Linked DNA regions of Macaca mulatta. The protein of the gene in region 1 purifies or fractionates together with the protein of each later gene. This does not show direct contact. Links are inferred from orthologs where the notes say so. Each region holds a gene or a part of one and is shown on either strand. Other genes may lie near its edges.

The links.
Region 2: the proteins of TRIM27 (region 1) and KPNA1 purify together in Homo sapiens (co-immunoprecipitation; 3 studies listed by BioGRID and IntAct, with this or other methods). This does not show direct contact. The link is inferred for Macaca mulatta from reciprocal best matches to the Homo sapiens genes TRIM27 and KPNA1.
Region 3: the proteins of TRIM27 (region 1) and MAGEL2 purify together in Homo sapiens (affinity purification with western blotting; 3 studies listed by BioGRID and IntAct, with this or other methods). This does not show direct contact. The link is inferred for Macaca mulatta from reciprocal best matches to the Homo sapiens genes TRIM27 and MAGEL2.

The regions. Positions count from the first base shown.
Region 1 is NC_133409.1:154,433,601-154,437,194, reverse strand, and holds part of TRIM27 (zinc finger protein RFP), read right to left. Parts: intron 3,227-3,594; coding exon 3,111-3,226; intron 2,979-3,110; coding exon 2,946-2,978; intron 1,423-2,945; coding exon 1,396-1,422; intron 1-1,395. UniProt on the Homo sapiens protein: E3 ubiquitin-protein ligase that mediates ubiquitination of various substrates and thereby plays a role in diffent processes including proliferation, innate immunity, apoptosis, immune response or autophagy.
Region 2 is NC_133407.1:161,339,394-161,342,171, forward strand, and holds part of KPNA1 (importin subunit alpha-5), read left to right. Parts: intron 1-1,899; coding exon 1,900-2,078; intron 2,079-2,439; coding exon 2,440-2,627; 3' UTR 2,628-2,778. UniProt on the Homo sapiens protein: Functions in nuclear protein import as an adapter protein for nuclear receptor KPNB1. Binds specifically and directly to substrates containing either a simple or bipartite NLS motif.
Region 3 is NC_133412.1:6,302,598-6,307,037, reverse strand, and holds the start of MAGEL2 (MAGE-like protein 2), read right to left. Parts: upstream 2,933-4,440; 5' UTR 2,808-2,932; coding exon 1-2,807. UniProt on the Homo sapiens protein: Probably enhances ubiquitin ligase activity of RING-type zinc finger-containing E3 ubiquitin-protein ligases, possibly through recruitment and/or stabilization of the Ubl-conjugating enzyme (E2) at the E3:substrate complex.

The DNA.
Region 1 (3,594 bases):
TCCTCTGGCATTTAGTATTACAGCATCTTGCTATCATCAAGTGTTTTCCTGCTTCAAAAACACTGATAATGGGCTGGGTGTGTGACTCATGCCTGTTAATCTCAGCACTTTGGGAAGCTAAGGCAAGAGGATCGCTTGCATACAGGAGTTTGAGACTAGCCTGGGCAACATAGTGAGACCCTGTCTCTACAAAACATAAAAGTAAAAATTTAGGCAAGCACGGTGGTGTGTGCCTGTAATTCCAGCTACTCAGGAGGCTGAGGCAGGAGGATCACTTGAGCCCAGGAGTTCGAGCCTGTAGCAAGCTATGATCACGCCACTACACACCAGCCTGGGCAACAGAGAACCTGCCTCTAAAATGAATAATAAAAAATTTTAAAAAGTAAAATACTCAAAAAATAAATTAATTTAAAAAACAGTGATACGTATTCTCTCATTTGCTCTTCACATCTTGTTCAGGAGGAAGATTCCCAAACATTACCTCTTAGAAATTTAAGCCCACAAATTTTGACTCCCACAAAAGACAGGCAACTGGTAGAGATAACCAAGAACCCCAGAACCCTTGGTTCCCGGTTCAACAATCTGTCTACAACACGTGCCTACCTCCTTCTTGTGTCATGGGTGTATCTCCAACCAGACAATGTAAACCCCATGAGTAGGATGATTTATGCCCTTCTGTTCCTCTAAAATACCCTGTACAATGTTAGGCAGTGTAGGATACAAGCGAAGTACTCAGTTAATACTTGTTGAAATAAATATGGATCAGAGCCAGCGCACACCCAGGACTGCAGATCCACTGTATGTCGAGTCCTTCTCTTCATTTAGAGGACACTTCATAACAGAAGGTGACTGTGACTGCGGGATGAATACACCTTGGATTTGAGGACTTCTGCAATGTTAAATTTACCCAGGCTCTACAGTAGGGTGAAAGTGGTTGTGAAGGGGAAGGGGAGTTTCGAACTTCGCCCTGAGGCACAGCGATGGGATGACACAAGACTCCTAGACTTCCTCTAACACTCAAGAGTAATAGTGGAGCTCAATCAGTCTTGCTCGTCACAAACCATGGTTTAACCCTGAAGCTGGGCAGGCACAGCAGTGTACTAGTGTACCAGCTCTGTTCTACTTTTGGGGAACTGCGGTTTCCACCCTATAATCCTTCTTTAACACCTGAGATTGATTTTACCCTATGGCTTCAACTCTGAGGCATTTCAGGAGGCAAAGATACTGTTAACACATAGAAACAACTGTGGATTTTTGTGGTTGTTGTGTATCATCTTTATACATGTAACCTAAAGAATCCAAATCTAAGCAATCTCCAAATCATTCATGATAGTAGTTACGTTCACAAAGATTGTTACTCCTTAACCTAATGTGGTTTTGTCTCTCATCACCTACCTGAGTATAACTGAGCCTCTCTTAATTCTGAAAGAACAAAAGAGAAAAGTTATAGAAGTCATGAGGGTTTCCAGGAAATACATAACTGAGGGGGCTTTGGTTAGTCATCATAAAGCAGTGGTCTCCATTAGAAACCCCAGAACCTCTGCTGTCAGTCATGCACTAATTTTTTCATATGATGTATGGCTCTATCATCCAACCAAAAGCTTTAAGGGGAGAGGGATTGGGAATCTTAAGTAGAGGGATAACCACATGCCTGAGACTGGTAGAATATGGGATCAAACTGAGCCAAGATCAAGAATTCCACCTTCTAGTGAGTCAGCTGGCTCTGCAGAGGGAAACGCAGTTCCAACCCCACGTCATACATAACTTTTGAGTTTCATAAGTCATCTGGGTACGACAGCTGAATGGCTCAAATGGCACTCACTGACACTCTGGGGTAAACATGACCATTCATTTATAAGGCACTTTAGAGTTGAAACAGAATTTTTCACACATTATCCCACTAAGCCTTTTAAGTGGCAAGAAAAGAAGAGCCAGATCAAGGTCGTGCCTGAACTAACCACTTCTGGTTATTACCCACTGTATTAAGTGGAGTTTCTCCCCATTTGTAGAGGACATGTATCTGCTAACTCTATGTTGCTAGATGCCCCAAAAAGTATATATCTGAGTAGATGCAATGCAAATAAGAACTCAGCATATATAAAATAGAAAAAAATCAAAGATTATGGGTGTTTGTAATTTCTAATAATTAAGAGAAGGGTTTACCTACATATAAGGATTTCAGAATCCACCAGACTGCCCAGGAATTTAAGTATTCCTGGGTGGAATAATATATGGCCAACTCTTTACTGAATGTGGCTTGTGAGCAGGAAAATTTAAATTTGGAAAAGCTTCTCCAAATGCCTAGAACACTTTTATTTAATAAACGTAAATATAGGACTTACTGTGTCAGGTTCTATTCTAGAAGTGTTAGAAATGATAACTAACCTTAATTCTTATACCTTAGGAGGTAAGAACTATTACTGTTCTGTTACAGATAAGGAAATTACTTGTTGAATCCTTACTAAGTGGTAGAGCCAGGCCCAGAACCCAAGTGGCCTGACTCCTGACTGCCCGCTTCTAACCATGTCCCTGGCAGTGCTGCCTGTCAGCGCTGCCTAATTACCTCCTGCCCGAGCTGGCACCTGTACCCACAAGCAGTAGGAACTCAGTAATTACAATGATAAACACTAGCTCAAGTGAAATGTATCCAAGGTAGTTTTTGTTCATACTCTTTCCGAAATAATCAAATTAATTCTGGATTAATTTTTGGATTGCTTATTTTTCTCCTCCATCAATGCAGATTGAGAATTGACTAAATACAGTTAACAGACTTCAAATTAGAGCAAGAGGCTGTTAGTTGAGAAAATTAGTTAAGACCAAGGGAAGATGTAAAATATAAGGGAAGGCTGGCCAATGGGTATCACCCCATGTTTCCCACTTTCAGTGCAGATGTTCTTTTTTCCAAGCAACTTTACATCAAAAGCCCAGTAGGTAGATAAATTTACCTTGGATTTTCTCCATATCTGACTGCATTTTTTCTAAGAAAAGAAAACAAGAAAATATTCAGTTTGCATCCCACTATCTGGCTGGAAAATATATCCTTTCATCAGGCAATATGCAGATATTGAGTATAAATCCATTTCCCCTCATGACACCACTCCTCACATTACCTGTGAACTGCTTTAGACTCTCCGTCAAGAATAGACATTTTTGGGCAAAAATGTGGATTTTCTCTTGCAAGTCTGGAGGCGTGATCCAAGGTTCAGGAATCCTGATTCTTTCAGCCCTAAATTTAAAAAACATGAGTAAATTTTTTTTTTTGAGATGGAGTTTCGCTCTTGTTCCCCAGGTTGGAGTGCAATGGCGCCATCTCGGCTCACCGCAACCTCTGCCTCCCAGGTTCAAGTGATTCTCCCGCCTCAGCCTCCCAAGTAGCTGGGATTACAGGCAAGCGCCACCACACTCAGCTAATTTTGTATTTTTAGTAGAGACAGGGTTTCTCCATATTGGTCAGGCTGGTCTCAAACTTCCGACCACCTCAGGTGATCCTCCCACCTGGGCCTCCCAAAATGCTGGGATTACAGGCATGAGCCACCGTGCCGGGCACGAGTAAATTCTTTTTCCCAATTCCGTGACCTTCCAGGAACTAGGACA
Region 2 (2,778 bases), on another chromosome or scaffold:
TTCCAGTGCACTGTTGAATAGGAGTGGTGAGAGAGTACATCCTTGCTTTATTACCAGTCTTTCTCATCATTAAGTATAATGTTAACTGTATGTTCTTTGTTGAGATTCTATCAAAGAATCTCTTAAGGAAGTTCTGTCTCTTTGTTTGCTGGGTTGTTTGCTTGTTTGTTTATTTATTGAGACTGAATTTTGCTTTTGTCGCCCAGGCTGGAGTGCAGTGGTACGATCTCAGCTCACTGCATCCTCTGCCTCCTGGGTTCAAGCGATTCTGCCTCAGCCTCCCAAGTAGCTGGGAATACAGGTGCCCGCCACCATGTCTGGCTGGTTTTTGTGTTTTTAGTAGAGATGGGGTTTCATCATGTGGACTAGACTAGTCTTGAACTCCTGACCTCAGGTGATCCACCTGCGTCTGCCTCCCGAAGAGTTGGGATTACAGGCGTGAGCCACCACGCCTGGCCTGTTTGCTGCGTTTTTATCATGAATGGGCATTGGATTTTGTTAAATGCTTTTTTGCATCTGTTGAAGTGATCATAAGTTGATTACATTGATTCATTTTTTTAAAATGACAGATCAGCCTGGCATATTTGGAATAAATCCACTTGGTATATAATTCTTCATACACATTCTTGGATTTGATTTGATAATGTTTTGTTGAGGATTTTTGCATTCATGTTCATGAGACATATTAGTCTGTAATTTTCCTTTCTTATAATGTCTTTATTTAATTTTGGTATTGGGGAAGTGGTGGCCTCATAGATTGAGTTAGGAAGTATCCCCACTGTTTGTTTTCTGGAAGAGATGGTAGAATACTAGTATCGTTTCGTCTTTAAATATTTGCCAGAATTCACCAGTGAAACTCTCATCCTGGTGTTTTCTATTCTGGGAAGTTATTAATTAATGATTCAATTTATTTAATACATGTAAGCCTGTTCACATCATTCATTTCTCCATGATTGAGTTTTGGTGGTTTGTGTCTTTCAAGAAATTGTTCATTTTATTATCTGAATGATCAAATGTGTCAGCATAGAGTTGTTTGTAGTATTCCTTTATTATCCTTTTACTATCCATGAGATCAAGTGATGATTCTCTTTCATGATATTAGTAATTTTGTCTTTTCTCCTTTTTTTCTTGTTTGGCTAGAGATTTATTTTTATATATTTTTGAATTCTTCCTCCCCCACACAAAAAAGCAGCATGCGAGAGAGAAATAGATTAGCACTAGCAGTAAGTTTCATAATGACCTTACCCATCCACAGAATGCAACTGGATTCATTATCTCTGCCTCTCTGTACTCAACTTGAGAAACCAGAATGATAAAAAATGACATGACTATTTACTGTGAATGTAATCATGTCTCTGCAGTTCAAGTATGATTAATCTTGATTACATATGATTATACATTCTGCTTGAATTAAAGGAAAAATACCAGCTCTAGAGTCCTCTGACGTTTGTTTATTCTTCCCACAACTTACTTTACTAAAATTCGAGTCATGTTTGAAAGATTTGGCCTATCAGGCTTGTGCTGGCTTTTAGCACCAAGAGTGTCATGTTTTGAGAGGTGTGGCTTTCTATGGAAACAAAGATGAAATTACTCAAAATTATACTATTTTGATGAGTTACTCATTTCAAAGTTTTAATAGGTGAGTGTTCCTGTTTTTGGAATGCATAAATTGTGAAGGGAAAAGAATGGAGAAAGGTGCCAGAGAACTGGTTTGGGATAATTTATTTAGAGGGTGTTTTGTTTTTGTGAAAAGGTATAGCTTGTATGGTTGAAAGAGTGCCTTTTTTTTTTTTTTTTTTTTTAAGTCTTTGCAGTAAGGTTGAGGATGACTTGTTCACTAATTTCATAAGTTTAACAAAATTTAAAGTTTTGTTTGACTACATTATTCTTTGTGTTTAGGTACCTAGTAGAACTAGGTTGTATCAAGCCGCTCTGTGATCTCCTCACGGTCATGGACTCTAAGATTGTACAGGTTGCCCTAAATGGCTTGGAAAATATCCTGAGGCTTGGAGAACAGGAAGCCAAAAGGAATGGCACTGGCATTAACCCTTACTGTGCTTTGATTGAAGAAGCTTATGGTAAGATGCTTTGGTTGAAGAAGTTTATGGCGAAGAATTAATTGGGTCGTAGATAGAGTTCAATAAAAACAATACTGCTGCTAGGCACTGGATGAAAAGAGGACTGTTAGGGAAATTGCTGCTTCTGCAGACTGGATGTTGCTTGCATATGTATTTAAGATGTCAGTTTATAATATTAGCTTTCAGATGTAATCCCAGCAGTCATTTCTGTGCTATTATAAAATACCTATGAGATACAAATAATCTTTCTTTACATCAAGAACAGAGATATATGACAAAATATAGTTTGGGAATATATAGTTATGGAATTTCCAATATTTATTGAAGTTTTCAATAGATTTTCCTTTATTCTCCATTTCAGGTCTGGATAAAATTGAGTTCTTACAGAGTCATGAAAACCAGGAGATCTACCAAAAGGCCTTTGATCTTATTGAGCATTACTTCGGGACCGAAGATGAAGACAGCAGCATTGCACCCCAGGTTGACCTTAACCAGCAGCAGTACATCTTCCAACAGTGTGAGGCTCCTATGGAAGGTTTCCAGCTTTGAAGCAATACTCTGCTTTCACGTTCCTGTGTCAGACCAGGCTACCCAGTCGAGTCCTCTTGTGGAGCCCACAGTCCTCATGGAGCTAACTTCTCAAATGTTTTCCATAATACTGTTTGCGCTCATTTGCTTGCCTTGCGCACCTGCTCTCTTA
Region 3 (4,440 bases), on another chromosome or scaffold:
CAGTCACTCAGATTCAGATTCTCCCAGGGCCTTGGGCCCTGCCAGTCATGAAAGGCCAGCGTGTGGCCACGGCTGTCCTCTCGGGCTTCCAGATGCTTCTTCTTCCGGGTGGCCTTGCCGGAGCGGCGTGGCATCTCCACGGAGGTCTTGGAGGCCTCTTGAGTGGTGGCAGTTGCCTGGGGGGCAGCTGCTGTAGCCATCAGGAGGGTGGGCACTGCCTGGGATGCCTTTGAGGCATTCATGTTGGGCTGTGGGGCCCACGGAACTGCAGGCAGGGCCTCTGCACAGGCAAAGGGATCCTGCAGAGCATATGGCAGTGACTTTGGGGCCTCTGAGGCAGCAGAGGGGCCTTTAAAGGCATTCAGAGAGGCAGGCTGAAACTGGGAGGTAGCTGGGAAGACACTTGAGGAGGGAGCAAAGGTCTCCGGTGTGGCAGGCAAGTTTTTCCAGGTGCCTGGCAAGTGTGCTCGGGCAGCTGACACTGCCTTGGGAGCACAGAAGGTGGCAGCAAAGATCATGCGGTCTTTCGAAGGGGCCCTGCGCTCCTTTGAGGAGGTCCTGCGCTCTTTAGAGGAGCCCCTGCGGTCTATAGAAGAGGCCCTGGATTCTCCTGATGGAGTCATCAATGATTTAGCGGAGCCCAGGGGAAAATTTGCCGCTGCTAAGGGGGGTCCGGGCTGGGCCTGCAAGACCGCAGGCGGTGTCTGCCAGGAGGGCTGGAGCTGCAGTGTGGGCAGCTCGGCTTGCGGACCCGAGGTCTGGGGCGGCTGGGGGGGTAGCTGGATTTGCACAGCTTTTTGGCAGGGCGGGGCTCCCTGAAAGGGCTGCTCCAGCTGAACCATGGGGGGAGCCTGCCTCTGGGCCTCCTGGGCAGGCAAGGGCTGCCAGAAGTGGGTGGGGGCCTTCTGGGCCTGCCAGGCCAGAGCCTGTGTCTGCTGCACCTCCTGGAACTCCATTGACGTTGGTATCTCATGTGGCACTGGGGGCTGACCTTTGGGGGCCTGCCAGATGATGGATGGGCAGTGCACAGCCTGCGGGGCAGACAGTGGGGCAGACAGCGGGGCCGGCAGCACAGGCTGGGGCACCTGCGGGCCAGCGAGCGGCGCCGCGGGTACCTGCGTAGCAGGTGGGGCCGTAGGCACCTGCGGCGCCGCCTGCACCTGCGGGGCCGGCAGCCTAGCCTGCGGGGCCTGCCGCAGTGGAGGTGGGGGTGGCAGGGCCTGCCAGAGAGGTGGCTGGGTGGCCAGGACCTGTGGGGCAGGTCGGATGGGCGGCGGCGCCTGGCGGATCAGCGGCGGGGCCTGGCGGATCACAGGTGGGGCCTGGCGGAGCACAGGTGGAGCCTGGCGGATCACAGGTGGGGCCTGGCGGAGCACAGGTGGGGCCTGGCGGAGCACAGGTGGGGCCTGGCGGATGACCGGTGGGGCCTGACGGATCACCGGTGGCGCCTGGCGGATCACCGGTGGAGCCTGGCGGATCACCGGTGGGGCCTGGCGGATCACCGGTGGGGCCTGGCGCACTGGTGGTGGGCCAGGGCGGATGGGTGGTGGGCCAGGGCGGATGGGCGGGGGCCCCTGGCGCACAGGCGGCGGCACCTGCCAGGCAATGGCTGGTGCCTGCCAGGTGACCTGCGTGGTCTGCCAGGTCAAGGGAGTGGCCTGCCAGCCTTGCGGCGTGGCCTGCCATCCTGGCGAGGTCGCCTGCCAGCCCGGGGGTGTGGCCAGCTGCGCTGGGGGTGCCTGCGGGCCCTGGGGAACCTGCGGAGGAGCCCTTATAACTTGAGACTGGATTTGCAGGATCACAGGCTGAGCCTGCGGGGCCCAAGAAGCCATCGGCTGTGCAGGTGGGGCCATCGGCTGTGCAGGTGGGGCCGCTGGCTGTGCCATCGGTGCTCCTGAAGCTGGAGGCTGGGTCATTGGAGCTCTCGCACCTGGAGGATGAATCATCAGGACTCCTGGACCTGGAGGCTTGGCCATCGGTGCTCCTGAAGGCGGAGGCTGGGTCATCACGGCTGCAGGAGGCGGCTGGACCATCGGGGCTCCCGGAGCAGCAGGCTGGACCATCAGGACTCCCGGAGTCAGAGGCTGGGCCATCAGGACTCCCGGAGCTGGAGGCTGGGCCATCGGTGTCCCCGGAGGGGGAGGCTGGGCCATCGGTGTCCCCGGAGGGGGAGGATGAGCCATCGGTGTCCCCGGAGGGGGAGGATGAACCATCGGGGTCCCAGGAGGAGGAGGATGAACCATCGGGGTCCCAGGAGGAGGAGGATGGGCCATCGGGGTCCCAGGAGGAGCAGGATGGGCCATCGGGGTCCCCGGAGGGGGAGGATGGGCCATCGGGGTCCCCGGAGGGGGAGGGTGGGACATTGGGGTCCCCGGAGGAGGAGGATGGGCCATGGGAGCTCCGGGAGCTGAAGGATGCACCATCAGGACTCCCGGGGTCGGAGGCTGGGCCATCGGGGCTCCCGGAGGCGGAGGATGCACCATCAGGACCCCGGGAGTTGGAGGCTTACCCATCGGTCCCCCCAGCGGGGGAGCCGGGACTATCGGGCCCCCCAGGGCAGGAGGCTGGGTCATCGGAACCACCGGGGCGGGCAGCTGGCCCTGTGGGGCCTCCCAGGCAGGCTGAGGTGCCTGCCAAGCGGCCAATGAAGCCTGCAAGTCAATTGGAGGTGGATCCCAAGGGACTGGCGGAGCCCGGGAGGAAGCGGGCGGGGCCCGCATCAGAACCGTAGGGCGGCTATAGACAGGCGGCTTCGGGGCCTCCGCTGGAGGACTCGAGTCACCCAGATTCTTACTTAGCTGCGACATGTCCCTTTGCTGACAGCTGGTGGGTCTTTTCCTCGGACAGCTGCTGGGCCTTTTCCTCCAGAGAGAAGAGAATGCCTACGTGGCTGTTCGGAGGCTCCCTCCCTGCTGAATGCTGAATAGGAAGTGAGTGCTGCTCGCTCCGCAGCTTTCCGCAGTAAGGAGGAGGGGGGAAGGGGGCTCAAGCCCGCCCCTTCCCCGCCCCCGACCACCACAAGTGGATATTGCATAGGGGCGTCTACCGGAGTCCTGGCTGACACAAGATCCCTTCTCACTCTGTCCAGTCCCCAAATGCAGACCAGTCAGACTCCACATGGATGAGTTTTCACAGGGGAGTGACAGGAACCGATCCATGTTTTAGAAAAATCACGGTACTGCAGTGTGGAGTGGGAGCAGACCACTGGAAACATGGAAGGTATCCAAGACCGGGGGGAGATGGTGTGGTCTGGGCTAAGATGTGAGGCGGAGAATGAGAAAAGTGCATTTACATAAGAGAGTTTCAGGAGTTATAGCAGACAGATACCTGTATTATAACCGAATAAAGGAGTCAGAGACACGGAAAAGGCACACAAGTCCCTGTCTGGAGAAAGTGGAAAGTTGCAGGACGGTTCCTCTCTTAGGGTCCCAGGAGAGGCACACGGGAAGAGAGGCTGATGAGTATTGGCAGACACAGGGCATTTGCGGTGCTGTGGGACTGCCAAGGAGAGAGCCCTGTAGGCACTCCTGTATAATGTCTTGGGAGTCCTGCTTGGCTATTCCTCATAAAAATAGAGTTGTGGGAGGGAATGTGGTTGCACTAGATCTTGAAGAACACAGGCATGTTAGAGACACATGGAGAAAAGGGATAGCAGCAAGTAGGGAGAGAGAGGAAAAGAAGTCACGGAACTGAGACATGCCACAAATCAGCGGAAGACAGAGTTTTTCGTATGGGGAAAACTGCCTGTGGAATGGCTCGGATGCGGGAACAGAGTAGGTTTCTCAGTGTTTTTCAGTTGCAGAACAGGAAAGAAATTTTTAAAATGAAAACCAAATAATGCACCTGAAGATAACAAAATGGGTATATAAATAGATCAAAAATGGATACATTTGGACATATAGGAAAAACAGGCAAACAATAACAAAATTTCTGGGGAAACTACTTGTGACAAAAATCAGTTTAAGTATGAGACAAATCAAGTATTAACAGATAAAGCAGGCGACAATAGTATTATTGGACAATGCTATACAACTTTATGGTGAGAGGAAGTGATAATCTCAGTAGTTGAAAAGTTTTCTGGAAATATACAAACTACTAAATATCAGGGATATTTCGTTTAAATAGGCTGTTGGCAGCCTAGGGCAGGAGTCCAGAGTGACAAAATGTGCCACCAGGGGGCAGATGAGGATGATGAAGGGTACACCCCACTCCTCCCCAGGTACCCTTAGCCAGGGGTCCTCAAATTTGGTAATTTATGGATCCAAGGGAAGGTATGTACACACTCCTAATGTTATTATTGCCTTAAATAATAATAGAAGAATTTGGGGGTGAAGTTTCAGTGATTTTCTGGACATTTAAGGGATGCTGTTATTCCCAGGAAACTCTTTGCAAAACAGTCAGATTTTTAAGGGTGTTCGATGATACAGTAGCCCCCCAACT